Lytechinus pictus: one gene and its partners. The main gene of each other region encodes a partner of the protein of the gene in region 2 in a complex. Links are inferred from orthologs where the notes say so. Each region holds a gene or a part of one and is shown on either strand. Other genes may lie near its edges. The genes, in order: RNA polymerase I-specific transcription initiation factor RRN3-like, DNA-directed RNA polymerase I subunit RPA12-like, nucleolar transcription factor 1-A-like and DNA-directed RNA polymerase I subunit RPA49-like.

Region 1 (7,860 bases), on a different chromosome or scaffold from region 2:
CAAAATCACAATATAGTCAACTGAATTATGGGTTAAAATAGGTACTAGAGACAAGAGAGACGGCTCATTTTCATTTTAATTTATGAAACACCGAAATCTTCGCGCTTCGCAAGGGAGGGGGAAACTCCCCCTCCCTGCACCCACCCCCTAGGGAGCGCGCTTCGCGCGCTTTATAGTGTTGACACGCTTCGCGTGCATTTACCGCCCCCTCCAAAATGAAATCCTGGCTACGCGGTTGTCTGACGAAGTCTTATTAAAGACGAAAGCTAAAGCTAAAATGGTATCCTGCGTCATCTTTTTAGTTGGCCTCATCACAATATATATATATATATGTATGTGTGTGTGAGGGTGTGTGTGTGACTGTATATAAAAGAAATATGGTAAATTGTGTCTCCCCCCACTTTTGAGGAGAGATTTCAGCACCCCCACTGAAAAAAAATCGTTCCCAGGGCCTAGCTGTGTGCCCCCCCCCCAAAAAAAAAAAAAAAAAACTTTTATCCAATGACCGACCAAATCAAACGGGCATCCAGTTCCAGTTCGAATTTATCATAAAGTCTGGCATATATTTTATTATAGCTTGGAAATATATTTTTATGATGGTAAAATACATTGCATGGGGACACATACAATTTTGAAAATAAATAAAAGGAACGGTATATCATCCAGGATGGTGCCATCATTATGTAAGGTTGGACAAAACATGAAAATTCTAAAATGCTCACTCAATTAGCTTCTTAATTACAGTCTTGCTAGAATTGATGTATTTCAAGGACTTTCTGTATTTTGAGTATAATGTAAAATAATCATGAGAAAATGTGTAAATTTGTAGGTTCATCAACACCCTGTGCGGTACGTGGCTTGGGAGGGGCCACTTCCATTGACGAGTGGATACCATGCGCGACCACGGGGTTTTGAAAAGCACCCTATACACGTATTTTCCATATTCTCAAAATGCACCCCTTAACAAGTATTGGCGTGTGAAACCTTACCCTTAACAAGTATTAGAAACAAATACTATTGGCAATTATTCCCAGAATTGAGCCCCTAAACAAGTACGGCGATGTATTTTCCATATTCTGAAAGTGGAAACAAAACGATATACTCTTGGCAAGTATTCCCTGAAATGAACCCCTAAACAAGTACAGCGATATTTTATTGTTATGTCACTGGTCCGTCGGTCGTCGGTTTTACCTTTATATACACACCATTATTTTGGTTTAGTCGGCCCCACCTTCCACACCTCGCGCAAATCGGACTCTAAACACGTAGTGTTGGGGCAAAAAGGACATCCTTTATCAAACATTTTTATTTTGTTTTATCATCCCCGCATATTTGACCCTAAACACGTATATATTTCCGCGCGAAATAGATACCCTTTTATTAATATTTTTGTGTTTTTGACACCCTTATCACGTTACGTAAGTAACGTGCCCTATCTTGAAAAAGACATCCTTTTTACGTGTTTTTTTTTGGTCGCGCATGGTATCCACTCGTCAATATAAGTGCCCCCCCCCCCCCGGGGGGGGGGGGGAAGGTGCATGGAATTAGGATCGAAAGCCGACCAGAAGTTTTCAGAGATAGGCCCCTATAGACTTCACATTATTAAAAAGGTTTTACTATATAAATTTTGATGTCCATGGTAAGATTGTATTCTCATCTCTAATTTCCAACAGCGTAGTAAATCGTTCACGCATGGCAGCTAGATAACGAACAATAAATATTGCATGTATTGAGACATATCAGAAACGAGTTGCGCACTAGAAACTCACGTGTGAATCTGAATCCACTCTCATTTGAGGTATCAATGAGAGAAGAATAGAAAGTTCAAGTTCAAGTTTATTTCAAATTCTACAAAAAATACATGTCATCAATGAAGTAACAGAGAGTGTGGGCCCGGAGTGTGGGTAAATAGGGAATCAGCATTAAGTGAAAATTGTAATTGATTATTGTACTAATAATACCAATTATGAGGGAAATTAGTTTTCTGTAAGTATATAGACAAAAAATAAAACTTTCTTTACATATGACCATGTTATTTGGAAGAGTATTGGGAACATATAAGAAGATATATATATGTATATATATATATACATATATATATATATATATATATAATGTGATGATAAGTTTACTCCTACCAATCGCTGTTGAGTTGTGAATATCAAACATACCGAGATAAGGCGAGGCCAACTCAACAGATGACGCAGGACACCATTTTTTGCTTTAGCTTTCGTCTTTTAATTGAGACTTCGTCAGAAGCGTCTGTAATTACAGACTATTGTGATAGTTAAGTATGACCCATAGAGATATATACTAATCTCTATGGTATGACCGTATCCTATCTCGTTCTTTCCTAAAGAACGAGATAGGATACGTTCTGTAATTACGCTAGAACTGATGACGAAGTCTCAATTAAAAGACGAAAGCTAAAGCAAATAATGGTGTCCTGCGTCATCTGTTGAGTTGGCCTCGCCTCATCTCGTTATATATATATATATATATGAAATTGGTGCCGGGAATTGGTGAAAGCCTGACAGTAGCCAGTGGCCACGTTGTATAAGGGGACACCCCCCCCCCCCCCCGGCCCCGCGCGCTATATAGCGCCAGGCCAGCCGACAGGTGTCATAGGCGAATTGGCCCGGGTACCGGCGGTCCAAAACGGCTAGCTTATTAGTACCGCCAGTACAAAACGGCTAGTCGATCGGGCCCGCCTGATCCAAATGACTGGTTCAAATTTTGGCCGAAACGATAGGAGAGCCGCCGTTTGGTTCCACATTTATCAAATCTTTCTAAGGTAGATATTTACTTTGATAAATGTTTCAAAATATATATTTGTGTAATTTTTAATGTAATTTGAATATTATCTTAGAAATAATTATTTCTATATTCTGTTTAAAGCCAAAAAAGGTAATAAATATATTCTATAAATATATGTTTTGATCAAATGTTTCAATATACATATTGGTGTAATTTTTAATGTAATTTTAATATTATCACAGAACCGATTATTTCTATAATTCTGTTTAAAATTAAAAATGTTGGTCTAGATAAGAGGTATTTCAGCTTCGTACGATACTAATTTAGTCTACACTTTTTTGCGCATGCGACATGCGTATATTGCAGCGCTGGACAGTTGACACACGGTACCGTTCCACTTCTCTTTTTTGGAGTAGGAGCTAGTTTTTAAACAATATTTTCCTTTTTTATTATTAACATGGACCGTGATTTTTTTATCTAATGCGAGGACATCTCGCACTACCTTAAGCATGGGGGCTATCTGTTTGCACACAATACCCCTTTTGACATATATTATTCTCTGAAAATTGTGTCAAAATCTATATATCACAAATTATATTTTTATCATAATATGTCAACATTTTGCTCGCTCGCAGCATAGAAAAATTCGTACACCAAGTCGACGCGTCGGTGCCATTATACTTCAATGATCAATGAAAAAAAATGAAAATACATAACTTGTAGCTTAGTATCTCTTATTGCACCAAGCTTTGATGATCGTATAAGCTACGACCAGTTTTGAGTCGTCATAAATAAAATACACCTGTGTGTGTGTGTTTTCTTATGTCAGCACCAATTAAAGCCCCCCCCCCCCTCATTTACACAGGTCAATTTGATGCCCCCTAAGTAATTTAATGTCAATTTGTCCCCCCCCCCCCCAAACATGAATGCGCCCGAGGCCAAACCCCGGGCCAAACATCAAATTGCCGCACAAAGGTCGAACATAATTATGATCAATTCGGCACCTCCTTACAGGTCACACTTCAAATGGTATCCCGGCCACGCTCTTTTATAACCTTTTTAAATCCCCCTTGTCCCCTTGTCCCCCTTCTTTTTTCCTTTTCTCCCCTTTCGGTTTAATCCCCTCTTTCCTTTTCCCCCCTTTTCTCTTTGTTACTTTCTCCCAATTAATTTTGCGATCTGTTCTTCGAATCTCGCTTTTTTTCTCTCCCTTTTATTTTCATCTATCTCCTCCTTTTTGGCACCTCCTTTTTGGACTACCCGGGTTTGTCTCAATGAGGTGTCACTAAGAGTTCCCTGTGTTTTGTGCAGCCTTGATGGACTATTAAGCTTTTAGTTATTTTATTTATATATTTTTTTCTATACTTACTTTGGGGGTTTTGGTGAGCACGCAGCAGTGTTTACCCCCACCCACCCTCAGCACACCAGTCGCCATCCCGTCCTATTTCTTGCCCCGGTTTCTTACTTGAGTAATGAAGACCTAGATCTATACAAAATCGAAGTTCACACCCCAAATATAACAGGCGTGCAAAGGGAGCACTCAGTGTGAATATGGCTTCGTGGCCCGGCCCACACAGCTGTAATCAATCGGAAGTGTGCTAAAATAATGCATAAATTATATATTTCCAAAACATATATACATCTCTATGTCCCAAAATAAGATTCTCAAATCGGCAACTGTAATGTTCTGTCGATATGGTTAATTTGGAGGAGCCAGTTGGTTGAAAAGTGTCAACGTTGAATGAGCGGCGTCTAGGAACAAATCGCCTGGTCGGAACAAATCGGCTATGACGATCGCATCACACAACAATGTTGGAGGTGCCGTGGCCGAGTGGTCTAAGGCGCGTGGCTATACATGGAAAGTCCGGGGTTCGATCCCCGGCCGCGGCACCTATGCCTGTGAGCAAGGTATTTAATCTACAATGCTCTTTTATCCTGCCTTCAAATAAATGGAAATGCTATATGCATTATTGGTAACTCGGTGTGCACTTGTTTAAAAAAAAAATATTCGGAACTAATCGGCGGATAAAAGAGCCACCGATTAGTTCCTCCGGCCCTGAACGGCTGCCCGGCCCAATTCTTCTATGACACCGGCGCGGCCGACGTATACGCGTTATTAGTATACATCTCTATGCCTAGCCTATGGACGTGACTTCGATAGGTCTTTAACTCATGCGCAACATTCCGCGACGAAGTTACAACACGTGTTGAAAGTGAACTAAATGAGGGCTTGTTTTATGACTTTACCATCGACATTGATTCAGTCAGCATTGAATGAGAGTATTCTTTGGATTTCAAGCCGATTGGAAAGTCTCAATAACGCAGTTGATGTAGTTTAGGTGAGTACCGTATGGATGGAACCTGGCATCAAATTGATCAATTCAATCGACAGTACAGTCCCATCTGTGCACTTTTGTGTTGTCATGGTCAGATGTAGACAGCTGGCAGCCGTCTGTTTTGAGCACTCTAGCCTCTAGGCGACACCCCGTGCTAATAAACTGGGACTCCACTCACGCGCGTTTGGGCCTCCCTAGCTTAGAACTAAGCACTAATATCACCTTAAAAACTAAATCTACAAGGTATCTATAATCTATTTACAACTTTAATAATGTTTAATCGGTACTCACCGGTTCTTTTGTTGCATTTTCAGACCATTTCTCACAATTCTTCGTAAATATTTGCGGCAAATTTTGTCGCCATAGACAGCTTAGCATCCATCTTTATTGATAAATGGAGCGCCCTTTACGATAGTTGTTAATGCCGCGGAGAAATCGTTAGGCATTTTGACCTGTGTTCAAGGCGTTCTTTCTGTTTTATTTTTTATATTGAAGATTGTGCATTTGTTGAATAGCGCCGTCTACGTCAGGTATGAGATCGAGTGTATAAATACACTCTTCCAAAATAATTATGATTCCGACCTGGCGCTGTTTAACTTCAATCTCTTTCACCTAAATTAGCGATGAATGCTAGCATTATAAAATATATATTATTAACGTCTGACGAAAAGAATAACCAACCGATCAGCTGACGAGAACGCGAATCACGTGATCTTCATATCAGCTTCGATCGCGAGTCAGAAGAGAAGAGCAGCTGCCCAGAAAATCAGGAAAAAGCCGTGAAAATGTAAGTTCCCCTTCATTTCTTTCATTTTTTGTTGTTGCTAACGATGCATTTACACTATAAAATTATAATTTAAATAAGAGAAAGGAATATAGCTTGTACTTGTGATATAATGTATAAATATCCTGTTCTCAGAGATTTCTAACCAAAAATACTACTGATGTCGCCTATGAGGTCCATACATGTAATGTTGGACCTCATTGGTACTAGGAGTGGTTTTGAGGAGTTTTTAAACATTTTTTTATTTTTTATTTCTCCTCGTATTTGGTGAGTGAAGCCAACGGAGTTCAGCTGAACAACCAACATAACAGAGACCGAAGCTTTTGGTCTAGGTCAGATCAGGGACTCGGTTTTATAATTATAAGGGGAGCAATAAAAAGCTCTCCTAGAACTTTTAAGGAGAGCGGTAGAGGAGCACTTCAAAAAGCTCTTCTTCAACATACAAGGGGAGCTTTTTGCCCAATTAACAAAATGGATGGAGGAAATGTATGTACTATAAAATTACAATCAACAACCAAAGGAAGTATTTATAATTGTTTTACAATGTATTGTAATTAGATTGTGTGTTGTAAAACCTGTTTTAGTTAGGTTTTGACTTTGGCTAAAAGTTAAGTCACTGACAATTTTTTTTTTTTTTCGGGGGCTCCATTTTAATTTTTTTGTCAAATTTCGGGGGCTCTTTTTAAATGCTACTTTTTTGTATTTTGAGGAATACCTGTTCATTTATTAAGGAATTATTACTTTTTGTTTAATATTGTATGATTTTTAAAGTTATTTATCATGTTTACAATCTTGGATGTGGGTGTGTGTGGATGGGTGGGTGTGTGTGTGTGTGTGTGACTGTGAGTTGGACTTGGATATAAATGAATTCAATATCTAATTTCTACTCCATTTATTCCAGTACAATACCCTAGTCAGCCATGTACATGTAATAAAGGCCCACTTACCCTAACTTTTCCTGAAGTTCTTTGAAAACGCAGATCTCCATGAAAATTTAATTTCTCTATGGGGGAGTCTAAATTTGGTGAGAATGTATTCATTAAGAACTTAAATATACATGACAATGAAGAAATCATCAAACTTTATTGGCAGTTTTGAATAATATTCCTGAAATGTAAACTCTGTCTGAAACAGAAAATCACCATCATTGAGGCCTTTACTGAGCGAATTGTCCCCCAGAGCTCTGGCAGAGAGACAGAGCTCCAACTGGCTAGCTAGTAAAAGCGCCAATGCGTGAGCCTGCCGCCGTCCTTGTAAAAAAGATGGAGCTTTGTTTGATGATTTATTGTCTGATATAATACCTCATCCCCTAGAAAAAGAAAACAAATGACTTTTTAGTTATAATTGATAAATTAGATAACTTATTTTGGAAGTTAATAAGCCGTTTTGAAAAGCAAAGCCGAATGACAACTCACCAATGCTAGGTTACTAGACTCTGGGATTTATTTCCTGTGTAATTAGAATTATTTTATCACAGAATTGTGATATCTGTAGGGGAAACATGTGCATTCGAAATGACACACGGTGGTAGTCATAATGGACCCCTATACATGCAACTCTTTCCCGACCGTTGCGTTGATTTTTTTTTCCATACCTGGTACCATGTGTATGGAAATACGTGGTACAGAAAAAATAACGCAACTTCGGAATTTGAAACTGCGCTACTCTCTACTTTTAAGGCTTATTCGTGATTTTGAGTGTGGATTTTGGATGGTTTTTAAATGGTAAGCGGAGCTCGAGCATATGGCACTAGTGGGCCGTTGAGTTGTTATCACTCGGCAATAATTTTGGGGGCGACATTCAGATTTTATGTCGCCCCCGAAAGCATGATTTTGGGTGATTTCGAGGGCGACTTTAGGCATTTTCGCGCAGGTCAGCTATCGCGAGGCGCGCTATTAATCGCGCTACCAAAAATGGATTAAGGCGCGCATGTAGCGCGCGATCGCTCTCGCGCGCCTTAAAATCGAGTCCCTGGTCAGATGA
Region 2 (7,735 bases):
ACATCATTAGACACTGGCGGATCCAGGGGGGCATGTGCTTTTGAGAACCAAAATCAAAATTTGTAATGTAAAAATGCCATCAAAAGAGAGGTGTGCCCCTCTCAGTTTGAAATGGAAGACCTTTTTTTATTTATTAAAATTTTTTTTGGGGGCTTGTCAAATGTTTACTTCGGGGTCGAAATATCATTAGTTTTTGGTTGAAAACCTTTTTTTTGTGTGTCAAAATTTTCCTCCAAAAGCTTTGCCCCCAGTGGCGTACCTACGGGGGGGGGGCCTGGGGGGCACGTGCCCCCCCCCCCTGAGATTTGGTGTGCCCCCCCGGTGCCCCCCCCCCAGAAAAAATTGGCAGAGCAAAAAAAAAGAAAGAAAAAAAGGGAGAAGAAAAGAAAAAAAGAAAAAGGAAAAGAAGAAGAAAGACAGAAGAAAAAAAGAAAATAAGAGGAGGAAGACGAGTGAATGAAATAATGTAATTAAAAAAACAAATTTTTTTATGTTACTATACGAAATTTTTGCTGGCGCTTCGCGCCAGAATTGCCTGTTCGATGAGATTCATATCTTGCTCAATAGGCTGATATGGAGCAAGTTTTGAAGTCAATATGCAAAACATATTTTAGCTCGACATCGAGCTTTCATTATTTTTTTTTCATTTACAAATTTAAGTAAAATGTCCGTTTTATGGTCTACATATATCAGCATTTTAAGCTCACGCTGCGTGGTCACATTGTTCGATTTGCGAAGTTCATATTGTCTACGTGTATTCCATAATGTTCCATCAAACAAATGTATTCAGAATGCCCAGATTCTAGGTCTACAACACGCGCGATAGCCTGCATGTTCTTTATTTAAAATGTACATGTACTTGAATTATCCAGTATCACATCAGAATATCAATAATTTTATTGTCTGCTCACGCTTCACGATCGCATTATTAATGATACCCAATTGACTATATCCTATTTATGATTTACAAAATATGAATAGAATGTCCCGCTTTTAGGTCTAAAATCTCAATTTTCTTCCTCGATCTCGCGCTTCGCGCTCGCATCAATTGTTTAGTTACATACCTATCCCATTTATTAATACAAAAAGTGCTTAGAATGGCCATTTTTTAGGTCGGAATGTAAAAAAAAAAATTGCTCGCGCTTCGCACTCGCATTATCGAAATATATACCGTCTTCGTGGGTAACTGTAAGCAGTCCTTAACAGTTCCATTTTCGATAATGCTAGAACAGTTGATAAAAATTTCTGTTCGCGCTTGGCGTTCGCAGTAGCCATCTAGTTACATACGAATCTTGTTCAGGATCACACATAACATTGCCCAGAAAATTAAATTTAAAAAAAAAGAAAGTTTTAAAAAAATCGCTCGCGCTTCGCGCTCGCACTTTTTATCAGGCTTATGAGATTATTTCATGTTTATGTTGTTTTATAAGAATAAAACTAAGAAGTGACTGATATAGGTGAAGATAATTTCGGGCCCCGTCCCCTATTGGCGAAAGTCGGATCCGCCCTTGTGACACATACACACACACACACCGGAAAAATGGTCGGTGCCCCCCCCCCCCTGAAAAAGCAAGGACCCCCAAGTGCCCCCCGGGAAAAAAATCCTAGCTACGCCACTGTTTGCCCCCCCCCCCCTTTGGAAAATCCTGGATCCGCCCCTGAACATAGGGACATATATCTCTCTCTCTCGATCTGTTTTGATCCTCCGCTCTTCGGAGATTAGCGATAAATCGCGGTCAATAGCATAGATGGATGAAATCTAGCTCATTAGTTAGCATGAAGAGTACAGGCTATGGGCATGAATTTTATATATTATAATGAAGAGTCATTTTCAGGATGAGGAAGGGAAGGGCCATAAATATATACGGCAAGAGAATGGCGCAAGTAATTTCAAAGGGATCCTGGGTGTTGAGAGTAGGCCTAATTCTTGGAGAGGATTGAAGAGCATCTCGTAAGAGTTTGCTCACTTTGGCCAGAAGATCAGTGCGTATAGATGGAGGGTTGACGGACAAGCAGCAATAACCTGAGTCACTGTATCCTCATCATGGCAGAGAGGACATTTCGAATCAGTTTCTTTCTTGAGTTCGGGTGAGCCGAGTTCGGGTGAGATATGTTGATCAATGTCACAAGTTGTGCTCTGATCATGGAGCTATCTGTAATAGCTCCATGCTCTGATGGTTAAAGGTCAAGTCCACCCCAGAAAAATGATGATTTGAATAAATAGACATAAATCAAATTAGCAACGCGGAAAATTTTATCAAAATCGGATGTAAAATAGGAAAGTTATGACAATTTAAAGTTTCGCTATTTTTCACAAATAGTGATATGCACAACATGCAAATGAGTCAGTCGATGATGTCCCTCACTGTTTCTTTTGTTTTATATTGGGGGTGCTGAGTATTGTCACAGCACCCCCATAATAGATAATCCTCCGTGGCCAGGTCCATGAGTGACAATTAGGACCAACTTGACTGAACCATATATTAAACAATACTAATTCCACATGTTCAGGGCCCGGTTCAGGGAGGAATTAATTGTTGTTTCACTTGACAATCAGGAGAAAATAAGAATATTTCATATCTCATATAATAAAATACAAAAGAAATAGTGAGTGGATGACATCATCAGTCTCCTAATTTGCATATCGACCATGCAGGATGTGCATATAACTGTTTTGTTAAAATGAGCGAAACTTTAAAATGTCATAACTTTCTTTCTGATTTTACATCCAATTTTGATGAAATTTTCAGTGTTATGCTTGTTTAATTTTTCTTTTTTTATTCAAATCAAATTTTTGTTGGGGTGGACTTGTCCTGTAAAGGTCAAGTCCACCCCAGGAAAATGCTGACTTGAATAAATAGAGAAAAGTCAAATAGTGCTAAAAAATTCATCAACATCAGATATGAAATAAGGGAAAGTTATGACATTTTAAAGTTTCGCTTTTTTTCACAAAACGGTGATATGCACAACTAGGTGAGTCAGTTGATGATGTCCATCACTAACTATTTTTATTTTGTTTTTTATTGTTTGAATTATAGGCCTACAATATTTCATTTTTTATAGATTTAACAATAAGGACCAATTTGACTGAACCGTATCAAACAATGCTAATTCCATATGTTTAGAGTGGAATTAATCATTGTATCACTTGTTAATGAGGAGAAAATTAGAATATTTCATATTTCATATAATGAAATACAAAAGAAAAAGTGAGTGGATGACATCATAGTGTCCTCATTTGCATACCAGCCAGGATGTGCATAGGCCTATAACTGTTTTGTGAAATTAAGCGAAACCTTAAAATGTCATAACTTTCTTATTTTACATCCGATTTTGATGAAATTTTCAGAGTTATGCTTGTTGGATTTTTCTCTTTTTATCCAAATCAACGTTTTGTTGGGGTGGACTTGTCCTTTAATGATTGTCTGATAATAGTTGACAGGCGCGGATCCAGGAGGGGGCCGAGCCGGCCCCGGCCCCCCTATTTTTTGACAACCTGCAGAAAAAATGTACTCCAACTTGATAGAAACTATGAAAAACAGAAAGAAAAGTAAGAAAGAGGTATTATACCCATGATGTGTAATTCACAGCATCGTAACAGCCGGCCCGACCCCGAAAGGAAACAAGAAAAAGGTGAGGGGAAGAATTGGAAAATAGACTTTATATAAAAAAATCGCTGGCGCTTCGCGCTCGCATTGCCTGTGTAATGAATCCCATTCAAGAGGATTAAATGGCACTTAATATATCCAGTTCTGAAATCAATTTGCACACGATATTTTAGCTCGCACATCAAGCTTTCATTATTTTGTTTGATTTACACAAATTGTTAATTAATACCAAAATTTTTAGCTCGCTATGCGCGCTTGCATAGTTTGATTTGTGAGATACTTATCCTCTTTGGAAATTCTTACCAAAATTTGTAAAAATACTCCTGTATCATGTCAGTATATCAAAAAATTAAGCTCGTGCTTCGCGCACGCATTTAATTGTTTTAGACACACAGCTTTAATTGTTCTTTATTTTAATAAAAATGCGCTTAGACAGTCCAGTTCTCAGGTCGGAATATCAAAATTTTTTAGCTCGCGCTTCACACTCTCATTATTTAATTGGTGATACTTGTATCCTCTTCATTAATCACTAAAAACTATCGAGTCCCTTTTCACGTTACTATAATAAAATTTCGGCTCGCGCTTCGCGCTCGCATTGTTTAGTTGGATAATATTGCATTGTTAAATTGAACATATCTTTGTTCATGATTACAAAAACTGCTCAGAATCTTCAGGTCTAAGGACATAAGATATCAAAGAATTTGAGCTCGCGCTTCGCACTCGCATTATATATTAATACCACATGAGATATCTTGTTTATAACAATAAAAACTAACATATACTTAAAACTTCAGTCTTTAGTTCGGACTACCCACCAATATTTTTCGGTCCCCCCCCCCCCCCCCCTATTGGCGAAAGCTGGATCCGCCCCTGGTTGATGGAGGATCCCAAGATGGGGTAGAGATTCTTAAGGTTGATAGTTTTCCCATGCCAGAATTTGTGATAGATGCACCATCTAGTGTACGTAGTTCGTTTGCTCAGCAGAAAGAGAGATTGAGTTCTTCACCTTCCGTTTCCATGAGTTGTAGGGAAAGTTTCTCCTAGATCTAATTAAATATTAGTACAAATCTCTTTAACCTTACGACCACGCCCACATTAAACGTGAAAATTCGTATCCGATGTATATTTTCATTACCACGCGGTACGGTATCAATTGGATGAAGGATGGATACTGGAACAACTTTTTCTGTTGCCAAGGAAATCTGTCCGAAATGTGGCACAGTTTTACCTTTTCCAAAGCGTGGCACATTAGACGTCTTTTGTAAAATTTGTGACTTTAAAACTAATGCTACAGGTAAGTTGAAGACGGCAAACGTACGTTGACCCGCTGCTCTGTCTGAGTCGAGTCTGAAGACGTATCTGCTGGCTGCCTGCGTCTGCCGGGCAGCCGGGGCACTCCGCCCAGGGAGCTCCGGCCCGCGCCCGCTTAGCGGGCTGGAGCTCTCTGGGTTAGGCTTGTTATAGCGACCCACTAGCTCTAGAGTCTAGCGAAGCGATCAGCGCGGTGAAGCTTGTTCTTGTTTTGGAAACTACCCACAACGAACAACAACATTCATGGGCCCAGCTACCTCGAGCGAAGTTCGTGCAGTCTCCACTTCACTACCGCTACACTAGTACAATCCACCTACCCGAACTTCGAGACGGTGAACCAGTTCGGATATACTGAGTCACAAAGGTGGGGATGGTAATCATGTTTATCGTAAAAATTAAAGAAAAAAAAAAAAAAATTTTATAACAAGAAAGATGAATAACTTAATATCTTACTCTACACCCGTATTTCACTCCGTTTCCATCCTCCGGTTATCCTCAAAATTGGTGATTTTGGGTCAGTATCTATTCCCTTACACGTATTATTCACGGCCGATTTAAAAACATCGCATGCGATCGCGATCGGCCGCAGGTCAAGGCCGATCGCATGCGATGTTTTTAAATCGGCCGTGAATAATACGTGTAAGGGAATAGATACTGACCCAAAATCACCAATTTTGAGGATAACCGGAGGATGGAAACGGAGTGAAATACGGGTGTAGAGAGACCGAAGTTTTAACTCAATTTGTACAGGGACTGTGTGTGTATTTGAGTTTTGTCAGACGTGTATCAATCAGATATGATTATTTACGTCTGGGACCGACCTTTCGTCACCATCTGAAATACGTGACACAGGTCCGAACCTCTGCATCAATTTGTAACTTCCCCACAGCTTGGATTACAGGGGCACGCCACAACGCCCACTCAAATGTTTATGTGTTAAGTTTGGATAAACAAGGGAAGTGGGAGTTGCGCGACAGCCGTAGTAAGTCACTGTTTTTTCCCCTTTAAAGTTTATTTTTTCCTGTTTTGATGCATTTCAGGCCAAAACCGAATGATAATCTTTATTTTGGTCCAGTTCTTTTTATATACAGTACTTTTATGAAATACAATAATCGATGAGCCTCATCGGGGGGATTTTGCATTATTAACCCCCTAATGGTGGCTGCACGATTGCGAGGAAATCACGAGGAGAAATAAATAAAATAAAAATGTTAAAAAACTCCTCGAAACAGACGGCTGCCAGCTGCGGTCTACCATCACATTTAAGAGCGGCATCTACGTCAACAAAAAGTGCCATATTTTAAAAATCTAGATCTAGCAATTACACCTACAGTGTTGGACTGGATCTTATGCTTTGTGGTAATATGTTCCATTCTTTAATCAAGCTATCACAAATGAATTCAAAGCAGTTCTTGCAAACGGTTGATGGATAAGATTTCTCTGACGTGTATTATACGTATGAATCCTGGAGTTAACAACAAAAGCATCTGATAAAAATGACAAATTTTGAGTCGATTGTGATTTGTACATGGATATCAAACAGTTCAAGGATATTAAATCATAAAGAGGCAGAATGTTGAGCTGCAGAAATAAAGGAATACAGGGACTTCTGTAATTCAAATATGTAATGAGTCTGATAACTTTCTTTTGAAGGATCAGTATAGTTTGTTTAAATGATTCCTATTTCCCCACGCATCATTACAATAAATTAAGTAAGGCACAATGATGGAGTTACTAAAGTTTGTTTGGGTAAAAAGAAACGCAACATATATCACGGCAACACTCTGAAATCTTGGTACAAACATTGCTGACCTGATTTTTCCATGATAAATGATCATCTCCAACTCCTAGAAACCGCACATCTTGACTATGATTAATCTAATCATTCTGATGACCTATTGATAATGAATCTATATATCAGGCATTCTTCTACCCCTTGTTCTAAATACAACATATTGTGTTTTACTAGCGTTTAATAAAAGCTTTTTACAGCAAAACCATTTAAATATATTTTGAACTTCAATATCTGTCGACAATATAAGATTATGCATACCTTTGTGATAGGAGAGTAAGCAAGTGTCATCAGCAAAAAGTGAATATGTAAACAACTATGATGAATTTGTAATGTCATTGATATAAATCAAGAACAATAAGGGACCCAAGAATCAACCTCGGGGTACCCCATAATTCACCTTCCTAGATTGTGATTTAACTCCATTGATCATTACTTAACTGTAATCTATTCTTTAAGTAATTTTCAAACCAATTTAAGGCTACCCCATGAATGCCATAATGCTCAAGCTTGTTTAATATTATCATGATCCATAGTGTCCAATGCCTTCGATAAATCTAAAAACACACCCATACAATTCTTTGGAAAGCCAATTTGTTGTGGGATCATGTTAGATCCATCTATTGACACAATTTGTTTTTCAGTGACCTAGGCTAAGACGTGCCAATTCCATTAGGTGATAGCCATAATAACTTGAAGCCCTATTTATTTTCCAAGTAGGACTAGGCCTAATGTTAGTCTATAATGAATAAACATCAGATGTATTTGCTTAGACCGAAAAATCAGTCTATTTCTTTCAGGGATATGCTCTGCGGCATCCCCTCCGTCTGTGTAGGAGGAGGACAAAAAAAAAATCATTTTCTTTTAAAGAACTCAGAAAAAACAGCGGATATATCAGTCCAGTATTTGCTCAACTCTGCACACCTCCGCTCTGCTCTGCTAAGTGAGCTCATGTGTGTAATGTAAATTCTTTTAAGATGTCCGATAATTTTTAGGAGAGTGCCTTATTTAGAAAGGTGTAAAC
Region 3 (7,793 bases), on a different chromosome or scaffold from region 2:
ATAAAAAAAAGTTCAGGAAAAGTTATATTACTAGGTATGAAGCTTAGATTAGGCGGGAGATTAGAACATTATTTTTCAAACATTGTTATGATTTTAAAATGATAAAAAAATCCCCTAAAATAACAATACAGTCTACATCTACCTTTAGCTTAAAACATTTTATTTGTAGTAACATCTTTAAAAATCAATTTCAGAACAAAACTAGAAATTTGATGTGTCCAGAGGACACAGATGCCCCTGCTTAACATGATCAGAAATTCATTCAATATGATTGAACTTAATATTGTGCAAAAAAAAAATTGGAAAAAAATAATGAACAAATTTAGACCTTTGACCTGAAGACTCACCCTTTCCATAATAATCTCTCACAGAAGATATGACAGTCAGGTCATTTGATGTGACCTATCTTTTGGTGTCATCTACCCAGACACGTAACATTTTTAATATCTGGTGAATATTTCCAAAGTTATCATGAGGAAACCAACTCGCATATATAATGAGCTGTGACCTATTGAATTGAATTGGTATGGTTTATTGAAAGAAAAAAAATCAAACAGGCAGCTCACAGGCTGAAAATGTTCAATTTACAAGCAAAAAATCAACAGATATAGTATAATTATACAACGGTAGAGATAAAACATAAATTGAATTAACATTGATAAAATGTCAAATGCAATTGATAGAAATGACAATAAATTGATTCGAACATAGCCTGTATTTTGGTGTCATCTACCTACACACCCTAATTTTTTAAAAATCTGTTGAATACTTCATAAGGTGGAAACAAACTTGCATATTTAATGAGCTGTGACCTTTGACCTGCGGACTCAGAATTCAAACTTAGCCTGGCTGTATTTTGGTGTCATCTACCTACACACCAAATTTTTTAAAAATCCATTAAATACTTTTTGAGTTATTGCGCAGAAACCAAGTGGGGGACGGACGGACGGGGGCAATGCTTAATGCCCCTCCAGACTTCGTCTGCGGGGGCATAAAAAAGTAAAGGAAAAGTGATATTACTAGGTCTCTGCCAAACTTTGTTCAGGTGAGACAAAAAATGAAGCTTAGATTAGGCAGGAGATTAGAACATTATTTTTCAAACATCGTTATGATTTTACAATGAAAAAAAATCCCCCAAAATAACAATACAGTCTACATTTACCTTTAGCTTAAAAGCAACATCTTTAAAAATAAATTTCTAAAACAAAACCACAAAAGACAAAGTAAATTGGACATGTTGAATGAATTATTTTATTCTAGACTAAGCCTAGATCTTTATTTCAATTATTATGACATAATTTAACCCCCCCCCAAAAAAAAAACATCAAGTTTATATATCATGATGATGATCTGTATTTAAAAAAGGGGGAGGCCAAAATTCAAGTAGATCTAATGATCACTCCAGTGATGCATTTGAAGTTTGAATTGAAGCAAAGCAATAGAATTGAAGTTGATTGTAGTTTCTACCTCAGTTAGACCCTGCTCAAAGAATAAATAATGGTTTTGCCCACAAAACGGGGGGTTGACTGCCAGAACGGTACCACAACGCACCGCCCGACGACGGAGGAGGAGCCGATGAATGAATGGGCAGTACAGGGTCTACTGACCACAAAATATTTCTTACTGGTCACTTCCAACAAACAATGTCAAAACCTAACGAATAGAGCACTACAAAATCGCTCCAACAATACCTAAAATCTTAACTAGCGATAGTATTCGAGAGTCAAAGGCAAAGCTGAAAGTAAACATTCTGAAAATGAGAACATTCGCGAACAACGTCACGTACCGGTATGAGAAAATACCACACGACATTCACAAGGATATTCTGTTCACGTCATAGCCGCGCCATCGCACGAGAGTAAGCCCCGCCCGCCCGGGGGCTGCTACTCCCTGGCATTGAAAATAAGAACGGCAGCGACATGGCTGACAAACAAGCTCGTTCGATAATGCGGCGACCATGCCGCAGCACTGCGGGCTTTTCAGCTCAGCCCGTTACACAGGGATGCCCGGGAATTTGATCAAGTCACGGGTTTCACGACTCGCCAGCGTGGGGCGACGTCCGCGCCGCTACACACGCGGCGTGCGTCAATCAAACTTGCTGGCTCATTAACAAATTCATGGAAGAACATCAATATTTGCAAGTCTTAATCTCAACATGCTCAAAATATTAAGAAACAGCAACAATTACTGATGGATACATAACTACCATAGATATGATTAGAATATAAACAAATTGTAATTTCTGATAAAATTAACAGAAAACGGTCTATTTCCATACCGGAACTTCGACGCACAAAAGCTGATGAGCGGATTCCTATGCTAACATACCCGAGACTTACCCGGCCATCTTGATTGCTGAATCGGCTAATAAAATCGCATATAACATAAAAATGACGAAATATTTCTAAGAGGGAATGTAGCGAAAATGACCTCACAAATATGAACTACAATCTGGTAATAATGAAGTAAATATATTTCACAAACACACGCAAAAATACGGAATTAAAATGTCCACTTACTTTCAGCGTCCATGATGGCTGTCTCTAGAACTTCTTGATTCGCCCCAACGCTCTCGGGTCCCGACCCGCTTCCTCCGCGCCCGCTATCCAGCGCGGTGTCTATCGGCTGCATAGGCGCCAGGATCATCACGGTACGCACCGAGAACAAAAAATAGTACCCTTGAAAAAATTATATAATAACAAATCTAATGAGTGTTTATGACTTTGGGTAGTTATTGACTTAATTAATTCCACATCACTGATTTCACACACAAAGATCTTCGGCTGGCAGAGTTCAATATTTAATTTTGATCCCCTCGGCTAGCTTTACTCACGTGGACTATATTAATTAGGCCGCTATCTACAACCTCGTTCACGAATATTGTTTTGATTTATATTTAAAACACGGCATGCACAACGCAGCCCGTCAACTAATGTTTCAATCGGAGTGACCAAGGATGACACTCTTGTTTACGAAATCGATCAGTAAACACGCAACGACCAATAGAATCTCAAAGATTTACATAAATTATCATAAATCATTCAAGCGAATGTGACGTACACAAGATCGCGCATTTACATCGTTTGTCGTTGATAAGCAGCCGCACCACCGCCTAACCATCAGGCAGGCGTCAGGCTAGGCCAGGCGGGCAAACCATGAGACTCGTGATATCTGCCCGCCTCAACTGCCCGCGCCAAAAATCGAGGGAGTGCGATAAGAGGTCAACCAACGTCATGTCATACGAGCAGCAGGGTCGTCTGCTACGCACCCTAAATGGAAAACGTTGTCAGAATTTACCGTAGAGATCTAACTTACTATATGCTTAACGTTAGTTATTTCTAAATCCTACGTAGGACGGTCTGGTACATGTTTAACTTTTTTCAGTTCTGAAATAAAACATGCTAATTCCCTTACATAAAAAAAACCTCCATTCAGTTGAGCTGCGCTTGTGAGGAGCGCATCGCATCATGCAGCTAGCCTGCACTGTCGATGTCGAGCTGTCCCACTCCCAGCTGGTGCCTACTTCAGTACTGTACGTATACAGGCATGCAGCTGCAGTGACAGTGCAGAACCAACAATACACTAACAGTTCGAGCACTGTACGGTATCCCCTGACCCTTGGACAGGAGCGCGAGCGAGCAGGGAGCGCCCTTGGACTTGTTGTAGTGGCGAAAGGGAGGAGGGACCCATCTTAGCTTTCCTGGGAATGGGCACGGCTTGGCCTTGCCAGGCGGACCGCCTGGCCCTGGACGTCGGACTGACTGATGATCGCCGGCCTAAGCCGAGGCTAAGTAAGGGCTTAAGCAGAAGAAGGCAAGACATTTCACGATAACTGCCTGGATAATAAATAAGATAAGATATCTAAATTGTGAAGTGTGATCTAAAAACTTCTGGAGTTTTGCTGGACAAGGACATGAAGAACTCTGGAACTGGAAGTGAGATGAAGGAGGTTAACTTCTCTTTGTTGAAGCAGGATGAGGATTCTGATGATCTCCTTTATGACTCTGTCAATTCTCTTGAAATTGATCAACTGAATCTATCAGGTATGCTCTAACTTTTTTCAAGAATATGTTAACAATAACATTTTTTATGCTACATCTGAATGGCTTGTGCCATCACACTGGGTTATCGCGTCGGGTCGGGCAATCGCGAAACATGACCATGCGAGGAAACTGCCCCATTCGAGAAAAGGGCCCCCTAACTTTCCGAAAGGTTCGGTCCAATTTACCCGATGTTTTGTGAAAACTGAAAACTTTTTGAATGGTTGGGTATTTATATGTACTTGGGTTTAAACTGACCCGACATTTCAGGAATTTAAGGGGGCCTTTATTGAATGGTTGGGTATACTTGATTGCCTGACCCGATGCGATAACCCAATGTGATGGCCCCAGGGGACCGGGGGACCACTTCCATTGACAAGTGGATACCCCTTCCATTGACAAGTGGATACCCTGCGCGACCATGTCCATGGTGTCTCGAAAAGCACCCTATAGAAGTTTTAGAAGTTGTGATTAGCTTTGCAATTGATACCATTGGAAAGAGGAACTCTTCCAGCTCTCAGAAAACTTTGAATTTTGAAAATTGACCCAATGATTTGTTAGTTATGCCCAATTATGTTTCGGCAATTGGACATGATATACCAAAGGTCAAAGGTCAAAGGTCATTCTTTTATTTTACTTTGTTGTGAGAATGGCACCATGAAAAACATGACATGTTTTCAAACTTGTGTTATTCCCATGTTTTTTGTATTACAGGTATGAAACTTGGCAGGATGCTAGTAGATTTTGCTTTGATGTATTTTTTTGCATGCCCAGGTCAAAAAACCAGTTAAGGACCAGTTCATCCAACTGGTACTGGTACCAGTTGATTCCAGTTAGCGAACTGGATTCAATATGGAAATTGGAATACTGGAATCAACTGGAATCCAGTTGACAAATTGTAACTGGTACCAGTTGGAAATACCAGTTGGCAACTGGTCCTAACTGGTACCAGTTAGCAACTGGTACCAGTTGACAACTGGTCCTAACTGGTACCAGTTAGGACCAGTTGGAAACATGAGTTGTCAACTGGTGCCAGTTAAAACCAGTTGGAAACACCAATTGTAAACTGGTGCCAGTTAGGACCAGTTGGAAACATGAGTTGTCAACTGGTGCCAGTTAAAACCAGTTGGAAACACAAATTGTCAACTGGTGCCAGTTAGAAACATGAGGTGTCAACTGGTGCCAGTTAAAACCAGTTGGAAACACCAATTGTCAACTGGTGCCAGTTAGGACCAGTTGGAAACATGAGTTGTCAACTGGTGCCAGTTAAAACCAGTTGGAAACACCAGTTGTCAACTGGTGCCAGTTAGAACAAGTTGGAAGCACCAGTTAGGACCAGTTGGAAACATAAATTGTCAAGTGGTACCAGTTAGAAACACCCTGCAATGTATAGCATAAACAAAAATGAATCATGTGGATATGTACATTCCCGATCTTTTACTCTTCTCATATAATCACTCCTTCGTTTTCCTTGCGCACACACACATTAGAATATTGGTACCAACACCCCCCCCCCCCCTCTCAGGCGGTTATTTCAATTATAAATTATCTTCAATTATCTTTACATTGAATGTCCACTCCTGTTATAACAATGTGCATGGACAAGTGAAATAATTATTCTTGCACATAGGACTGATGAAATGAATCAAGGTAAATTTGTAGCATTGTATTGAAACCTTGTTAATTTCCACATGCACAATATAACAGGATTGGACTGTAAACTTGCTCTGGTAAATCAATCCCTCAGTCTCTTGAAATCTGTACCAAAAATCATCAGAGAATGACAAAAGTCACAAAAAACATATATATGGTATTTAAACTAGGAATTTAATGAAAGAAAATTATGTTACAAACTGTAACATGCTGTGTATAATTCTTGTATTATGTGTCAACAAAGATCATTAACTTACACAGTAAATATGTAGTCAATCCAATTTTTACATGCTAGCTTGGAGACAAAATTTGAATATAATGCATCTAAGCATTTACCTTCAATAAATAATATGTACTATTTTTAAAGGAATGATAAAGGAGTCTTTTTTTAATTATTATTTATTGAGATCTTGGGGCCCTCACTGGCTCTGAAGAGGAAACGTGAAACAGGTACCTTCCTTTCCTGTAGTGGCACTTGATCTTTGCTGGTAGATGCGATGTATCTGAAGATTAGAAAAAAAAACAATGGAATGAAAAATAATAAGTACAGTGAATACCGTAATACAAAATTTCAGTGGTGTAAAATTATATCTGCACATAAAGAAAATACATGGGATAGTGAAACTTCTCTAAGTTCCATATTTCAATGATTCAATTATAAATGATAGACAGCACATCATCATTTTTATTACAACATGTATAGTAAGTTCACATGGTCTTGGGAATACTTCTGAAATTGACATCGCAGAGATGAAATTGCCTCGACCTTATACCTATACATTTATTTTAATAATAAAGACTTAGACTATGTATGTTTGCATATATGTATCTAGGAGTCTATGTTGCACATTATCTGCTAACATCTGATGGGTATTTCATGATTGTCAGTGCCGACTATTTCAGTGAAATCATTGCTTTTGATTGGCTGAGAAGCACTGGCCTCTGACTGTTACTATGGTAACTGTCGGAAAAAGACAACTTGTTAATGCTGACAACTTTCAAAAAGCAGTTCCCAGAACAAGTTTAAAAAGCAAAATGATGAAAATTTCATCAAAATAGGATAACAAGAAGTTATTGAATTTTAAAGTTTATCAATATTTTGTGAAAACAGTTGTATGCACTTCGTCATGAATATTCATTAGGTGGGCTGATGTCACATCTCCACTTTCCTTTTTTTTATGTTACTAGATGAAATCATAAATGTTTGATTTTTTCATACATGTGTAAATGATGCGTCTCCATTGTAATGAAATAAGTTGCGTCAATAACTAATGCACCTTATCAGTTGTCAATCCAATTGTCAATAGTTCTTGGTTAAAAATATCTTAATAAACCTAATCTCATATAATAAAATACAAAAGGGCAATTGGGATATGACATCATCAGCCAACCTAATGAATATTCATAAACATGATAAAGACATGCCTAGAACTATTTCACCGGAATAATGCAAATCTTTAAAATTCAAAACCTTAATTAGTTATCAAATTTTGATCAAGTTTTCAGCATTTTGCTCTGTGAATTTTACTCTATTTATTGAGATATGTTTCCAGCCTGGACCATCCCTTTAATTCTACTTCTACGGTACCCCCACACATACTGGTAAGTCAGAGGTAAAAAACAACGAGAACCAATTTAATTTCAAAGATAAAAAAATACTTCGGCCTCCAGATTTAAGAAAAAATTCAGGAAATGTTATTTTAGTTCAGACTAATTGTGCACGTTTCATTTTGGAGGTCAATCTGAAATTATACTTCCAGTTCCAAATTCACGCCATTTGGTTATGCAAAAGCATGAATTAAAATTGATGGGCATGGGCCCATGTCACTGGCTAGCCTAGAGGACTCCATGAAGATAATTTTATCATTTTTACATTGTATTTTCATCACGGAGCCTAGACAAGCCTCCTATAAGGTTGCTCGTACAACTGTGTAAACAAAGATAGATTTCCCTCGGAAATCCACCTTTCCCATAATGATTTTTGGGCAAACATTAAATTTTTACATTTTGTAAGCCTTGATACTCTAAATGTGTACAAAGGCTTAAAAAAAAATTAATTGTAAAATGTACAAATTGGAAATTTTCTTACAAAAAGGATCA
Region 4 (7,882 bases), on a different chromosome or scaffold from region 2:
CCCTGTATCGATTTTGACTTGATAGGGGCCTATACCTGATGGAATTAGCTTCATTCAATATAAAACCAAGACCACACTCAAGAAACGATTCTACGGGCACAGATCCACCGTCAACACAGCAAAGCTGGACACTCCAGTTGGCCGCCATTTTAACCTCCCCAACCACTCCATCACTGACATGATGCTACAGGGCATCGAATCTTTAGGTACCCGTCCTGACTCAGTCCGTACTAGCAGGGAGAAGCTCTGGATGAGACGACTTCGCACCACCCAACCTCATGGCCTGAACATCCAAGAGGGGAACGACTGATTTTTCTTTCCTATCCACTTTCAATTTATATATACATATAATTTTTCCCCTCAGCTCTTTTGAATAGTTACATTATAGTTTCTTACTCTACTTTCCTCCCATATCTCATACAAGCTCAGCTCCAATTTTTCCTTCCTTATTCAGGCGATATAATAATTATTATATATATATATATATATTTGTTTTTTCTCCACTCACCTCTTTTAGATTTACCACATTTGCTTATTTACATGTATACTATGGTTTCTTCATAATACACCCCCTCTCTTCTATATTTGCTTTTACCTTTTTAGGCAATTTGCTTCCTCTTTTTCACATATACAGATTTTTTTTTCTTTCCTACTATATAGTCTTATGTTTTTTCCCGTCACACCTAGCGGATTACCATATCAGTTACACCATATGTGTATATATTTATATATTTTTTCATATACATTTCTTTTTTGGATATATTTATATACATATCACTTATAGATACATATTTACACTTACCTTCTTCTCTTAGTTTGTTTAATGCTTTATCATATATAATTATATGTCTTTTGCACATTATCAGTTGTTCCCCATTCTTTTTCTTCTTTTTTCCCCCCACTCTTATGCACCAGTTTATTAAGCCTTTCTTTGTAACCTGTTTGACCCACCTCTCACTAATTCTCTAGTTATTCATCCCTCTATCACTGTTTTGTTCCAGATCCTGTTTGATGTTGCCTGCCTCATTATCTTAATCCCTCTTGGCCTTACTTACACTAACTTCCCTTTGTGTCTGCCTACTCCTTTTTTTTCATCCCCTTCACTAACCTGATTGGTCTTCTCTACTCACTAATGCCCCTTTTGTCTCCTTGTTTCTAGTGTTGCTGTAGCTTGTTTGTGGTCTATATTATGGTTGTTCCACTTTATATGTTTGTCATTTTGCCTCCGACGAAGATTCTGCTAGGATCGAAAGCTTAGGCCCCTCTTTGACTTTATAATATAAAATCATAACGGATAGAACGCCTTGAGTACAGGCCAAACAGCCTAACGACATTGCCGTGTCACGTGACAACCAGTATTAAACGAGAATGTGCACAAGGCTATGGTGACAAAATTTGCCGCAAAAGTTGAGCAAGTTCTGGACAAAAAGGCTTCAATTCAATACCCCAAGAAAAGACCAGGCGCGAGTACTATAGGTCCTAGCACTCTAGGCGACACCCCAATACTTACCCGTGCTAATAAAGTGGGACTCCGCTCACGCGCGTTTGGGCCTCCCTAGCTTAGAACTAAGCAATATTATCTAGAAATTGTTACATTGTAGTAATTAAATATGTTCTATTAAATAAATTGATAATGTTTAATCGGTACTCACCGGTTCTTTTGTTGCATTTTCAGACCATTTCTCACAATTCTTCGTAAATATTTGCGGCAAATTTTGTCGCCATAGACAGCTATACGTCCATCTTTATTAATAAATGGAGCGCCCTTTACGATAGTTGTTAATGCCGCGAAGAAATCGTTAGGCATTTTGGCCTGTGTTCAAGGCGTTCTTTCTGTTTTATTTTTTATATTGAAGATTGGGCATTTGTTGAATAGCGCCGTCTACGTCAGGTATGAGATCGAGTGTATAAATACACTCTTCCAAAATAATTATGATTCCGACCTGGCGCTGTTTAACTTCAATCTCTTTCACCTAAATTAGCGATGAATGCTAGCATTATAAAATATATATTATTAACGTCTGACGAAAAGAATAACCAACCGATCAGCTGACGAGAACGCGAATCACGTGATCTTCATATCAGCTTCGATCGCGAGTCAGAAGAGAAGAGCAGTTGCCCAGAAAATCAGGAAAAAGCCGTGAAAATATAAGTTCCCCTTCATTTCTTTCAATTTTTTTTATTGCTAACAATGTATTCAATTAGTGAGATCGAAATGTAATGATTAGACAGTACGATAGCTTGTAGTTTTGATAAAATACAAAAATAATCATCTTCACAAAGATTTCTGACACAAAATACTACTGATGTCGCCTATGAGGTCCATACATGTAATGTTGGACCTCATTGGTAGTGGTACTACTAGGAGTGGGTCCTACTCACTCCTAGTCCTAGTACATTTTTTCAATTTAGTAATATCTAGAGTCTAATTTAAGAACAGATTTCGTCATGGAGCTCCATGGTAAGATCTAGTAATTTAAGTCCAACATTTAATTCGCGTGCACTCACTTTTTTAACACAGGAATTAATAGCCTTGGTGCTTAGAGTGCAGTGGACCTGGGCCCCACGCCACGGAACCGCGATGCAGTAGGCCCTACACTACAGCATAATCAATACATGGGTCTAATATAAAGCAAAGACTCCGCGACTTCTTCAGTCCAGATCAGCTTGATTCTTCACTTCAGAGTAATAGAAAGTCTGTAAATATTCTATTAACCCTAGATCTACGTGCTCTACATGACCGCATCTTATTGTTTGTATAATTTGTTTAATGAGATGAAAAATAACGAACCTAGAGTTGGTTTCTCCTGATCACTTGAAATAAATGAACATGTGGCCATCATTTTCGTCTTCGAATAAAATTAATTCAACCCAGGTACTTCGGCGATTGCGCAACACCAAAATCTTGAAGCAGTATGGTGTCTCCGATTTGGAAAATGAAATATTAAAATTTCTATACAGGGAGCCTCGATAGCTGAGATGACGAATTGAGTGATGGTTGGTATCATTTCCTAGGGGACCAATGTAGATAATGTAACAAAGAAAATAACCCTCCAACTACACCCCCACTTGATGCCAGATGGTGGGAATTTTTATGTTGTTGTTGCTACACACTCTCGGATGCTGGGCCCACGCCGGGGCCCAAGGATGGCCCCCAGGGCCCTGGGAACTTCATCTTATGTTGGTTTGAGTGGCGATAAGTCACATTAGACTATTGTCGCCATCGACTTATTTTTTATTTAGAAAATCTTACTTCTCATATAATGATATTTATTACCAATATGATGTATACATTATGAAATATTTTTCTTGTGCATCCTTCTAATATGAAAAAAAAAATCATTATAGTATTTACAAAAGTTTTTCATAACTCTTGTCAAAATGGCAATGATTTTTTTAACTAGGGGTGCTGATGCTTATTTGAAAAGAAAAAACAACAAGGTTTTCATTACAAAACGAGGTCATTTTGACCCAAAGAAATTTGAAAAGCAAAAAATAAAAAATAAAATAAAATGAAAAATAAACAAGTAGGTTTTACTAAAAAACAAAGGAAAATTTTGGTTACAATTTTTTATTATTTTTACACACCTTCCAGCATATATGGGGTGCTGCACCTATAGATAATAATAAAGTGGCACCCCAAGGAAAATATTGGGGGTGCTTCATCCCGCTTCCCAGGGCCATGGTGACCCCCGGCCGCCCTCTCCTCATGGGTTCGGCCCAAGAAATCGCTAGGTATATTGGGTACAAAGATATTTCCGAATGGGGATCTCTTTCAGTTCCCAATTGACTTTAAGTTTAGACAAGGGTGCAATATACTTTTCAAAATTATATGATGTAAAACTGAGCCTTATTTGGCCATATATCATGGGCCGCGCCAGGATATTTTGCTAGGAGATTTCGGGAAGGGATTCTAGGGTCGTCTAAAATGACATTATCTCAATAAAAAATAAGTAGGCGTCAAAGATATCTACACAAAAGCACTTATCATTCCGTTTTCTTCCTTATCCTTCCTGCGTCTCGTAATAGTTTAGATGGCGCATAATAAATGCTTTGTTCATTTTTCCTCCTTTTGTTTTTTCTTCAGTTTTCCCCCTTCCTCAATTAATCATTTGAAGAATCGAAGGGGCGATTACCCTCCGATTCCATTAGGAACCCGACTCCCCCCCTATATACCCCGGACCAAAAAAAATCTCACAAAATCGCATGGTTTAGGGGACTTGGCGAATTTAATCCATCCATCAAGCAATCAATAGTTACAAGCCATCGCCCCGTCTCTTTCCTCATCCTTGTCGCTTTGATCATCATAATGCTTCCACCTTCTTCCACTGTGAGAGTCAAGCCGAGCGTATAGTAGGCTGGGGGAGGGGTGCACCAGTGGCGTACCTAGGATTTTCCACAGGGGGGGGGGCAAAACCGTCCGCCCAAAAATTTGACAAGCAAAAAAAAAAAAAAAAAAAAAAAAGGTCTTCAAGCTCGTCAGGGGGGCAATAAAGGTCTTCAAGCTCGTCAGGGGGGGGGGGGGGCAAAAAAAGGTCTTTCAAGCTCGTCAGGGGGGCAGGGGTACGTCCTTTGCATGGGTTGTGGCTCGTCAGGGGGGCAGACTGCCCCCCCCCCGTAGGTACGCTAGTGGGGTGCACCCTCTCGCTGAGGCAGAAGAGTTCCGACACTGGCAAACAAAACGAAATTTGCACCCTTTCTTCGGCTTTAAACAGCTGATTTTCAAAACCTTATAGTTCCGCCTCCCCAAGATGTGCATCCCCCATACCACTAAAGTTCCACCTCCCATGATGCTCAAACCAGCATACGCCCTTAATTGTTTCTTTCCATTCGGGTATAATGACCATATTACATATACGGGGAAAAAAGCAAGACGATATCGATAACAGAGTCCATAAATGATGGCAAAGTATCAATGGGCATAATATAATGCGATTTTTAATGCAGATCAGTCTCTAAAATGTGTATTATATAGTTGAACCATATGGCACTGGGAAGCGTGCGTGATTTTTTTTAGTGGTGCTGCGTATGCTTTGCATCCACTGGGCAGCACCCCCTGGAAATATAATCGGTATGCTAAACTGTATTGACCTAAATCACCTTCATTTTTCTGCGTTTTGTTGTTGTTGTTGTTGCCATTTTGCTTGTTCAAACTTTGACTGACCAAAATCACCCCTTTTAAAGTTTTTTGAGCGAAAACCCCCCTTTTTCCAATTATTTTTTTTCCAAACGAGCACCCCTCTTGAAAAAAAACTCGTTCCCATGCTACTGAGTCGAACACCTCATAGGTCTATAGAAAATTGAAATCAACATCGAAAGATATAGACTAGATCAATGATCATGACCTCATGAGAGAAAATAAACACAGTCTCTAGTAATAAGCTAATATTGTTCTATAATATTTATATTTCCAATCAGGTGACACATTAATTTTGCTTATCTGCAAAATTATCACCTTGATATCAAAACACCGATAGGAACACAACCCCGTTCCTATATAAGATCGTAGGACATTTCCAAATTCTTCCATTGTCCAAACAATTGTTCACTTTGCTTAAAATCATTTAAGAAGAAAATACAATTTTGTTGTAGTTTATTACCTCCCGCCCCCAGAAGAAAATGTGGAAGAAAAAAGTAACGACATTTTATACCTTCAGTGACCTTGGAAGCACTTGAGCCGCCATCACAATTGGTTCATCGTGGTAAAGAGAACCTTCCGACATGTTCGATGCAACGATCATGGGAATGTTTGTTTAAATATAATCAATTTTGTAATCATGAAAGACTTTGTCTATTCATGGCTGTTGACGTAATTGGTCATGTTGGTAGAGATATAGGGCCTAAATATTATTGTAAAGACCACTGGCGTAAATCCCGGGGGGGGGGGGGTGGGGGGATATATCCCCCCCACTTTTCGAGGAGGGGGGATGGCCTGTACAAACATCCCCCCACTTTTCACGAAAGAAATGAAAAAAAAATCACAAGAGATAATTGTTTTATTGGTGAAAATTCTTCCTGAAATACCGCTTAACAAATAAAACAATATTATTGAATCATAAAGTGCAAATAAAGAGCCAGTTCACCATTTCCAAACGAAATACTTATGTCCTTATTATAACATTGAAGAGGAACTCCCGTTTCTTAAATTCGTCAATGTTGGGGTCTTTGGGAAGGGATTAAGATACAATGTCAATTCTTTTTTAATGTATTCTCTAATAAAACCATTAAACCATCATGGGTTAAAAAAGATAATAATATTGGAGGGGTTTTTGCCATATGGCGTAACTACGGGGGGGGGGGGCATGGGGGGCACGTGCCCCCCCCCCAATTGGCTGACCAAAAAAAATGGGGAAAATGAGAAAAGAGGGAGAAAGTAAGAGAAGCGTATAGTGAGAAAGAAGAAAATATTATTCATTATAATGTTATATTATAATTATGTTATGTTACATTACATAAGAAACATTTTTATCATAACTTCATGAAACATAATTTGCCCAGGGCCTACTTATTCATTGTTCCTGGTGCTTGCATTGTCTGTTAACGAGATATATAATCCTGTTGTACTGAAACATCCCGTTTTCAAGTCAATATAAACCAAATATATTTCCTAGCACTTGAGTTATCATTGTTTTATGTAGTGACATTTGCTTCTTTTTCATGACTCAAAAAGTGATTTCCCCATGTTAAGGTCTTCGTATATATGAAACATTTCCTGTCCGTGATTACGTTCGCATTAGTGGATTGGTGTGATATGTCTGCTCTTCATGAATTCTTAAAATCAGTCCTTAAAATGTCCCTTCTTCTGATCTGAATATCAAAAATTTTCAGCTCGCGCTTCGCGCTCGCATCATTTGGATATTGAAATACGTATGGTCCTAGTTAATTCCTACAAAGAAACCTTAGAATGCCCCACTTCAGGTCTGAATTATATAAATTTTCAGCTCGCGCTTCGCGCTCGCAATATTTGATTAGTGAAGATGCGTATGATAATCATGATTGCAATGACTACAAAAAGTGTTTCATGAGTTCAGATGTAATTTTTATAAACCAGCAAGCGCTTGGCACTCGCATTAGATGACTATGGTGAGATATGCATACTCTTAATGGATTCCTAAAATATATTCCTCAAAATCTCGCTGTTTGGGGTCAAAATATACGAAAAATTCAGCTCGCGCTTCGCGCTCGTATTGTTTAGCGAGACAGGTACCTATCATGATTACACAAATTTGATTATAATGTCTCTTTTTAGGTGTGAATATAAAGAAAATTCAGCTCTCGCTTCGCGCTCGCATTATTTGATCAGTGAGATACATATCCGTTTAATGACATTGTCCAGAAAATGTCTCTATTAGGTCAGTATAACTGGCAACTGAGTGCGCTCACTCAGCTCAGTGATTCAAACATTTTGCTGGTGCCCCCCTCCCCAATGCCGTGACCTACGGTACGCCACTGTGGACATATCAATGACAATTCCTTGCATATCTAAAAACATGATTGCAAAAAAAGCCAAAATATTTCAGTCATCCCCCCACCGATCAACACGGATTTACGCCAGTGGTAAAGACACACACAAATTACCTTAATATTGAAGAGAGTTCTTTTTGTTGTTGTTGCTACACACTCTCGGATGCTGGGCCCACGCCGGGACCCAAGGGTGCATGGCCCCCAGGGCCCTGGGAACTTCTTCTTCTTATGTTGGTTTGAGTGGCGATTAGTCATATTTGACTATTGTCGCCATTGACTCTATTTAGAAAATCTTACTTCTCATATAATGATATTTATTACCAATATGATGTATACATTATGAAATATTTTTCTTGTGCATCCTTCTAATATGAAAAAAAGATAATTATAGTATTTACAAAAGTTTGTCATAACTCTT

What was found.
Region 1: DNA-directed RNA polymerase I subunit RPA12-like (region 2) and RNA polymerase I-specific transcription initiation factor RRN3-like share a complex: the UniProt entries of both Homo sapiens proteins name them as parts of the pol I pre-initiation complex. The link is inferred for Lytechinus pictus from reciprocal best matches to the Homo sapiens genes POLR1H and RRN3.
Region 3: DNA-directed RNA polymerase I subunit RPA12-like (region 2) and nucleolar transcription factor 1-A-like share a complex: the UniProt entries of both Homo sapiens proteins name them as parts of the pol I pre-initiation complex. The link is inferred for Lytechinus pictus from reciprocal best matches to the Homo sapiens genes POLR1H and UBTF.
Region 4: DNA-directed RNA polymerase I subunit RPA12-like (region 2) and DNA-directed RNA polymerase I subunit RPA49-like share a complex: the UniProt entries of both Homo sapiens proteins name them as parts of the RNA polymerase I (Pol I) complex. The link is inferred for Lytechinus pictus from reciprocal best matches to the Homo sapiens genes POLR1H and POLR1E.

The regions. Positions count from the first base shown.
Region 1 is NC_087254.1:4,772,501-4,780,360, forward strand, and holds the start of RNA polymerase I-specific transcription initiation factor RRN3-like, read left to right. Parts: upstream 1-4,843; 5' UTR 4,844-5,096; intron 5,097-7,860. UniProt on the Homo sapiens protein: Required for efficient transcription initiation by RNA polymerase I (Pol I). Required for the formation of the competent pre-initiation complex (PIC).
Region 2 is NC_087259.1:27,112,576-27,120,310, reverse strand, and holds the start of DNA-directed RNA polymerase I subunit RPA12-like, read left to right. Parts: upstream 1-4,719; 5' UTR 4,720-4,772; coding exon 4,773-4,902; exon of another isoform or gene 4,903-4,982; intron 4,983-7,735. UniProt on the Homo sapiens protein: Core component of RNA polymerase I (Pol I), a DNA-dependent RNA polymerase which synthesizes ribosomal RNA precursors using the four ribonucleoside triphosphates as substrates. Can mediate Pol I proofreading of the nascent RNA transcript.
Region 3 is NC_087245.1:35,362,850-35,370,642, forward strand, and holds the start of nucleolar transcription factor 1-A-like, read right to left. Parts: upstream 3,005-7,793; 5' UTR 2,647-3,004; coding exon 2,520-2,646; intron 1,997-2,519; exon of another isoform or gene 1,787-1,996; intron 1-1,786. UniProt on the Homo sapiens protein: Recognizes the ribosomal RNA gene promoter and activates transcription mediated by RNA polymerase I (Pol I) through cooperative interactions with the transcription factor SL1/TIF-IB complex.
Region 4 is NC_087245.1:24,111,712-24,119,593, reverse strand, and holds the start of DNA-directed RNA polymerase I subunit RPA49-like, read right to left. Parts: upstream 3,012-7,882; 5' UTR 2,844-3,011; coding exon 2,792-2,843; intron 1-2,791. UniProt on the Homo sapiens protein: Component of RNA polymerase I (Pol I), a DNA-dependent RNA polymerase which synthesizes ribosomal RNA precursors using the four ribonucleoside triphosphates as substrates.